2 linked regions of the Bombyx mori genome follow. The protein of the gene in region 1 interacts with the protein of each later gene in a pairwise test. Links are inferred from orthologs where the notes say so. Each region holds a gene or a part of one and is shown in the gene's direction. Other genes may lie near its edges.

The links.
Region 2: the proteins of cyclin-T (region 1) and Cdk9 interact in a two-hybrid assay, tested with the Drosophila melanogaster proteins (2 studies listed by BioGRID). The link is inferred for Bombyx mori from reciprocal best matches to the Drosophila melanogaster genes CycT and Cdk9.

What each region holds. Positions count from the first base shown.
Region 1 is NC_085108.1:5,583,888-5,588,023, reverse strand, and holds the start of cyclin-T, read left to right. Parts: upstream 1-1,336; 5' UTR 1,337-1,679; coding exon 1,680-1,828; intron 1,829-4,136. Other genes in the region: KAT8 regulatory NSL complex subunit 2, read right to left, coding at 756-819. UniProt on the Drosophila melanogaster protein: Regulatory subunit of the cyclin-dependent kinase pair (CDK9/cyclin T) complex, also called positive transcription elongation factor B (P-TEFb), which is proposed to facilitate the transition from abortive to production elongation by phosphorylating the CTD (carboxy-terminal domain) of the large subunit of RNA polymerase II (RNAP II).
Region 2 is NC_085130.1:9,750,901-9,755,176, forward strand, and holds the start of Cdk9 (cyclin dependent kinase 9), read left to right. Parts: upstream 1-1,476; coding exon 1,477-2,161; intron 2,162-2,705; coding exon 2,706-2,791; intron 2,792-3,340; coding exon 3,341-3,478; intron 3,479-4,093; coding exon 4,094-4,173; intron 4,174-4,276.

The sequences.
Region 1 (4,136 bases):
AACGGCTGCCCCACCCTTCAAACCGAAACGCATTACTGCTTCACGGCAGAAATAGGCAAGGTGGTGGTACCTACCCGTGCGGACTCACAAGAGGTCCTACCACCATTAATCACGCAAATTAAATTATGCAATACTTAATGCTATGAAATACGTACTTAATACGGCCCTGAGTTTGTTAAATTTTTGTACTATCCCGCATGTACGTATCGCCAAATTAATACTGTTTTTGTTACGTCTTGTTACAATTATTACATAAGTTTGCATATTTTTTTTTGTTGATAAACAAGTCGTCCTAATTGTTAATGAAACGGGTACCGGAAGGAGCCCAGTATATTTTTAACCTACAATAATGTTGATTTACAAAGGAAAAATTCGTAATCACGTAAATAGCAGTGGACAGATTTAGATGATAATTCGTACAAAAATGTTTTTTTTTTATAATCTAGATTTTTAGGAGGGTACCTGCGAAACATGAAAATTTGGATCCCGTGAAATTGGTGCTTAATATTTTATTGTCACAATTTTATTAATGACGTAATCGCAGTGTAAGTCTAAGAAATGATATTAAAAAAATTAACTCCGACAGCCTATACAACTACTGACTTGACTACGATATACTATTTTATACAAAAAATTCTCGTGTTCTAATGAAATGATGTTTATATTTTTTTATAAATCTACATGTTTAATGAACTAAGTAATGAATTGGTTTGTTTGTTTAAATTAGCGCATTTGATTTTTTATTTTTTACTTACGTTCAGAAATCTTGATATTATGAGCGTTCAAGGTGTTTGCATACTCTCTTCCGAATGGAAACATTTTTTTGCTATAATAGCAGCCTGTAATACGTACTTTCTAATGTTTTCTTTAAAAATCATATGAAACCTCTGTAAAAGTTGCGTAATCATCTTAAATTAGAATATTTTAATTACGATTGTTTGTTCGTAGTTATCCACGTAGCGCGAAACTTCGTTCACTAAAGTTAGGTCAGATGTGATTCTTAATAAAAATAAACTAGTTTGCAACAATTTGAAAAAAGTAATGACTAAAACTAATCGTGTTATAAAATAATTTCACTAATTATGAAATGACCGATAATAGTTTAAGTCATCAGGCATTTTAACTCGAATTTAATAGTGAGGTGAATTGTAAACAGTTGTGGGTCGGCCATTTGCACAGTGCGACAGAGTTTTAGGTCCGTAAATTTGAAGTTGATTTTTTTCATTGAAAAGTTAGCAATGCGTTTTAAAAATATGTACAAAAGAAAGAGCTATTCTTATTCTATTAAAAGAAACATAGTGATAAAGTGAAACGTACCTGTGTTTTTTGCAGATCATCAATCTGTCACCGGAGACCTCACTGCGTTAACTACCAAGTTTTACAATGGCGTCAGCTTGAAATTCCTAATCAGAATATCGTGTTGTGATGTATTTTTTTTAAGTAGTTTTCTTGTTGTTTTGTTATTCCATTAATTTTAATATTTTTTTAGTTCATTAATGGTGAATGAAAACAGTGTTTTCTGATAAAATGTTAGGATTTTAATTTATCAATCACTCAAATGTTAACGTGGTCTTTATCCGGTTGCCGCTGTGCTAGCGCTGTCCCTTTCCCACTCACGCACTTAGACGGGGCACTTCTATCCGTCGTGCTTTCTCGCGCGCAGTCCGAACATCCGTTCAATGGCTGGTGGGCAAGAAAAATGGTATTTTACAAAAGAACAGCTACAGAATTCACCAAGCAGAAAATGCGGTTTAGATGCAGATAAAGAGTTAGCTTATCGGCAGCAGGCCGCGAATCTAATACAGGATATGGGACAGAGGCTTCAAGTGTATCCTTTTCGAAAAAGTGTTCGATTACGACCCAATGTTTTTGTCGAGTCATGTGTTTAAAATGTGTATTTTAGTGCTTTGTTGAGTGTTTTCATTAATTAAAATGTCCTCTAATATCGGTAATCAACATTTGTGAAGCGTCAGAATGTGCAGTGATCATGTACAAGAGTTAGAAAAAGTGACGAAATGTCGTGTACATAACGGCGTCATTCACACACTTTCCCTTGCTGGTCTGGGATTTCCCGTGAGTAAAACCATAATATCTAAACTGAAGGATACGCCTATGATTGCGTATTAACGTGAAAATGCCCATAAGTGTTTGTATTTAGGTTAGGGTCACGTATGAAGCGTGGTTTTTTTCGAGGTCAGTGTTCGACAGCTGTCGGGACGCCTGCGCGGTTGACGTAGGACCTGTGTGATCGACCTGTCTGCCCGCTCTAAATTTACCCGCGTACCGGGATAAATAACCTTTCGTGTTTCTTGGAACTTCTCAACGATTCACTTCCGAGCTTATCATGTTTTCCTGGTACTCGTGTAGTTAAACGAGATAAAATATGTATTACTTTTGAAGCACGCGTGACGTACGTGTTGTTTTGTCATTTCCACGAACACGTAGGTTAATGAAAACGTAAATAAACAAAGTGTGAACACACTATGCTGATATGCATTAGGTTGTTGATATCAAGCGAGCCAATGAGAACAGATGCAAAGAAAAAAGTAAATGTATAGAAAGAGGTCATTACTACAAACGAGTATCAATTCATCAATAATGTTTCTAGAATAAAGGATGGAAGGATCTAGAACAAAATATAATCTAAATAAAATAACATGAATTTGAGATGATTTATTCAATGCACTACATAAACAACTGTTTTACATAAATGTGAAATGCAGTTTTGTAATATTTTGCTTAGTGGGAACCTTTCGCTTTTAAATAGACTGAATTCAGACTTATCTGATACTGATAAATATAGGTTTCTATGAAAGATTACAACTGTGCCCATATTATGCTTACATCTCAGTTAAAACATGATCGCTTGGTATATATTATTAGGTAATAAAATCTTGATGCATAATGTTGGCTTAATTCAAGAACTGCTTAAAATCCTGCTGGGAGGTACCGTTTTTTCTAGAAATAAATACTCTACATATTTGACGATGATCTCTACAGTAAAAAAATAATGTCTGGTAATAAAACTCCAAACAATTCTATTTTCTTATATAAGTTTATTTTGGCTGTGAACAGCTATGCACTCTGGTTTGAAGAATAGGCCAGCTATCATACAATGCAGTGAAACCACCTCATATCTAAGTTTGTAGTCGCATTTACATTATAAGATCTGTGGTTTTCCAGTAACCAGTTAACACGGGTTTTTTGTTTTTAGACATCAATAAAGTAAATGCCAAGTATCTTAAGACATGAGTATCAAATGCCAATTATTAGTAGTATAGTGCCATTTGTTTGTTTCATAAAGGATTAATGTATTTAGGAAATTTCTAATTGTTAAGTAATTATTTTTAACATTTAAAATCTTATTTAACTTGAAATTGGATTTCGATCCCTTCAATGAACACGTAACTACTCTAACTCAAAATTTTGAAATTTTCGTTTTTCACCCTAATCGCTTCACTATGCTAAAAGTATTACAATTAATGATTATTGATGGTGTTCAAAGCAAGAGTAAACCAGCTAGTTACACCAAAAAAAAACCATAAATATATCTGCCTATCTATCTAAAAAACCATAAATATATTTAACGGCCGTCTGGTGTAGTGGTAAGTGACATGGTCACTACACAAGGGGGTCGCGGGTTCGAATCCCGCCAAGGGAAGATATTTGTATGATAAATATAAATGTCTTTCCAGGGTTATGGGTGTATATTAAATATATGTATGTGTATAATAAAAATATTATATTTATTTCCGTTATCTGGTAATTGTAACACAAGTTCTTTACGAACTTAGCACGGGACCAGTTAACGTGGCGTGATTGTTAGTAAATATTAGTAAAATATTAGTATTAGTAAACAAATGCAATAATAATATAACAAGTGCAATCGTTCCAATTATAGCTATCTTTTTTATCTGCAATAATAAAGATTTTATTAACTTTTTTCGTTTAAACGCTCCTCCTGTAAATCTATGAATTTGGAGTTAGCGTAGCGTTAATTGGAGGCATCGATTTAATATAGTGTGTAGCACTGTTGCATATGAAATGAATGATTCATTTAAAACAGTAAAATACCTAATTTAACTCCACAAATACACAGAATTCCAATGACTCATTGTCATTAAAAAGTTGTTATG
Region 2 (4,276 bases), on another chromosome or scaffold:
AAATACTCGTACTTCAATAAATACATATACATAATAAATATTATCAAAGTCTAATCTAATATTTTCTCTAATACTAATCTAATAACTAATCTCTAATTAATAATATAATACGCCAAAGTTATTCAAATATATTTACAGTAAATTTAAATGGGCGTATAACTAGTGTTCGTATTAGTCCATATAGTTTTATCAGCGGCACACGCAGTGATAGAAAGAATTTATAAAACTTTTTTAAGAAATCACTTTTTGTCGGCCTACTTTAGTAATTCTGTCACGAAGCGCCTAGGTATTAAACTCAATTAAACTCAATTAATGTTTAGTTTATTCAAATTTTAGTATAATATTGCGTTATTTACCTCGAAGCGTCTTTTACTATTGTTGTGAATGTGTAACTTTTTGTAACAAAAACAAAAATCAATTCCGATGACACATTGACGTTTCTCTTTATTCGTTTTCATGTCAACGTTTAAGGGTCATTGACATCAAAACCTATAAACTCACAGTTTACCAATTTTAGATGTCTTACAAGCAATACTTTCGTTTTAGTCGATTTTTTGTATTTTCATTTATTTTAGAAACACTGTAAATTAATTAATTTGTTTTAACAGAAATTGTGGTAACCTGAATAACATTCAAAGAAAAGCAGTACATACCATCTTAATAAAGTTATTTAAAACCATGGATGTTTACTTTATTGTTAAATTAACTTTTTCGTTACAACTTCAGCCAAGTTAAATTGAGTAGATCAATAGGTAGTGTTTTAGTCCAAAATATATGTAATAACCGCTGCCTATTTTACCGTTTAACGCTATGCGAAACCTCATAAATATTTGAAATAGTCACTGGGTATGACTTTTCAAGTTCTTACAAAATTTTCTTTTTCCACTAAATTACGAAGTTTTAATGTGTGTTTCATTTCTAGCCATCCGACAATTGACCAAATCTTCAATGCTGTGGGTCGTGACCTCTATGGGATTTCAGAATCTCTCCGGTGGATTATCTTACGCCATACGTCGATATATTCTCGACGCTATAGATGACCTCAAATACGATAGTGTATTTGCGGTACGGATTTGGTCTGACCAGCGCAGGGGGACCTGCCCATCAACAACATCTAATTTCATTTAATTCCAATCCTCAATTAACTCTACTTCACTTTTTAAGCAACAGATATGGCGGGCATTGGCCTTTGGTACAAAACATTTTGATTTGGGCTCTTTTCTTTGCGTATTCAATAAATAAAAAATAAAAATTGATATTGACAGTTGACGTTTTAATTAGTGTCACAGTCTTCAGTCAGTGTTGCATTTCACTTCTTCCTATTGTGATTTTGCTGATAGGGTATCAATAAATTTCGCCGTTTCCAAGTGAAAACATAATTAATGTGAAATTTTTTAAAAGCTTTGTCTACACTACAATTAAAAATATCATATTCATACTAAAAGTTCGTTGAAAACCGCCAAAATTACGTCCAAAATGCAAAGCGTAAGTGCTCCGCGGGAGCCCACGCAACCAGTTTTAAGCACAACTTCAACTATATTAAACATGAGGGAAAAGGAGAAATACATAGAGGAATTCGACTTTCCCTTCTGCGACGAGTCTTCCAAATACGAAAAAGTAGCTAAAATCGGACAAGGAACATTCGGTGAAGTGTTCAAAGCGCGCGCGAGAAACAGTAGCAAAAAGTTTGTTGCCATGAAAAAAGTCTTAATGGACAATGAAAAAGAGGGTTTCCCGATCACGGCCCTGCGGGAAATAAAGATCTTGCAGCTCTTAAAACACGAAAACGTTGTAAACTTGATAGAAATATGCCGCACGAAGGCTACGGTTCACAATAAATACCGTTCCACTTTCTATTTGGTGTTCGACTTCTGCGAACACGATCTAGCTGGCCTGCTATCGAACGTGAATGTTAAGTTCAGTCTCGGCGAAATAAAAAAAGTCATGCAACAATTACTGAACGGACTTTATTACATACACAGCAACAAAATACTCCACAGAGACATGAAGGCTGCCAATGTACTAATAACAAAGAATGGAACATTAAAACTGGCTGACTTTGGACTTGCTCGAGCATTCAGCGTCGCAAAGTCTGGACAAGCCAATAAATATACTAATCGTGTTGTTACTTTGTGGTATAGGCCTCCAGAATTGCTGTTAGGTGAGTTTTTAAAACATATTATTTATTAATGAACAGTGTTTTTTTATGTAAACCATAATTTCTGGTAATAAGACAAATTGAGCTTGGATGAGTGGGCACCATTATTCTACTAACTCCTGTTGCTAAGTAGTAAGGCCTTGAAGTAAGCTCCCCTCCATGATGTTTCCCGAGAGCCTGTCTGTCGTCATGTCTTTCTTCAAACGAGGCTTGTGGAGAGTACTTCACGGTAGGCAACGGCTTGGCTTTGCTCCTAGTATTGCTGACGTTCATAAGCTACAACCACTCACCATCAGATGAGCCTTCTGCTCATCTGCCTACAAGAACATTTTTTTTTTTATCTAAAGCATCGAAGCAGTCATACATTTTAGTTTAAAGGAGACAAGTGTTATGTTATCTTTCATAGTGGGAGTGATTTTGAATAACTTATAACTAACATTTAATAACATGTAATAGTGAGTTGTCTTTGTCTGCTCATTTAGAAAAATATATGAAAAATGAGCTGTGGTGTGTTGTATCAGCTTTAACATGCCTTATTTAATTAAAGGTGACCGTAACTACGGTCCACCAGTGGACATGTGGGGAGCCGGATGTATCATGGCTGAAATGTGGACTCGCTCCCCGATCATGCAGGTTTGAAACTTTTCAAAGATACCGACCTGATTAAAACTACTTTTACAGTTTAATCTAGTTTTTTTTGCAAATCTAGTCAAAGGAAATAGATGCAGGGCCCTTGCTTAAAAATGCAGTAATAAGTTTTTGTGTTATCTAGTCAAAAATCACTGCTCTTGTAATGGGAAAGCATAAAATACCAAACCCTCTATTGAGTTTATTCAATAATAAACTTGCAATTTTATAATGATCACAAATTATATGCCATAAACCCCAAATTTAATGGAGTATTATTGGATAGACTTATTGGTTCAATGATGTTCATAGATAAAGGTTTACAATGAGTCACAAAATCTACGAATTATTTCTTTTCAAATTGATAAATTTTATTGTAATTGTATATTCTGTAGATATTTATGTTATTATTTTTAGAATATGTATAGAATAGTTTTAGAAATGACAGACTAAGAGGCTGAGGCTCCAGAAAGACAGACGATACACCACAGATCAGCAGTTAAAAAAAAAATTCTTGTCTACCATGGATCTTTGATTAGAAATGTAATATTTCAGGGTCCGACAGAACAGCAGCAGCTGATATTAATATCGCAGCTGTGCGGTTCCTGTACACCTGATGTCTGGCCCGGAGTGGAGAACTTGGATCTTTACAACAAAATGGAGTTGCCAAAGGGTCAAAAGAGGAAAGTCAAGGTGAATATGGAATTTAATCATTGAGATTTTTATATCTATTGGCTTAGTAAGACTGTTTGGTCAGAATCAGGGTACCTATGTACTCAATTGCAGTGTGGAAATAAGACATAATCATTTTTGAAAAAAAAAAAAGTTTTTTTTTTATCTTTGGCCGATAACACACATTCCAAGATGATATTTAAGGTCAAGGCTCAACACACTGCCTCATAAGTCAACATTTCATAGTTCATTACATATTTTCTTACAAAAACAATAAGTATTTTTGCCTACTGTCAACTAGTTATTTTATTTCTGTATCACCGTAGCCACCAAAAGCATTGTCAGCCATTATATAATTGTTATATCGGAATATAGGAGCAAAGAAACGAACATACATAATAACAGCCGGTTTATTATTGCACTGCACACTGCATAACACACACTGCAATAATACTATTGAGACTCAGATCTCATATCTCATGATGGGCGTCGAGAACATTTTGATGTTTGGTCCAGTGGGCATTTAACAATATGTGTACTTATTTTCCCATCTATGCCGCTCTCTCTTCACTGCATACTGTATATATTCATTCCAGCATCTCTTATATACTAATTAAGATTTGTATATAAACACAGGAAAGACTGAAACCATATGTGAAGGATCCCTACGGCTGTGACTTATTGGACAAACTGCTGCAGTTAGATCCTGCCAAGCGGTATGTATAATAGTTTACTTCCAGCTTACAATTTCTACAAGGAATTTATTCTATTAATGTTAATTGTTGATAGACAAGAAACTGGTTTTACCGGTGAAAGGAC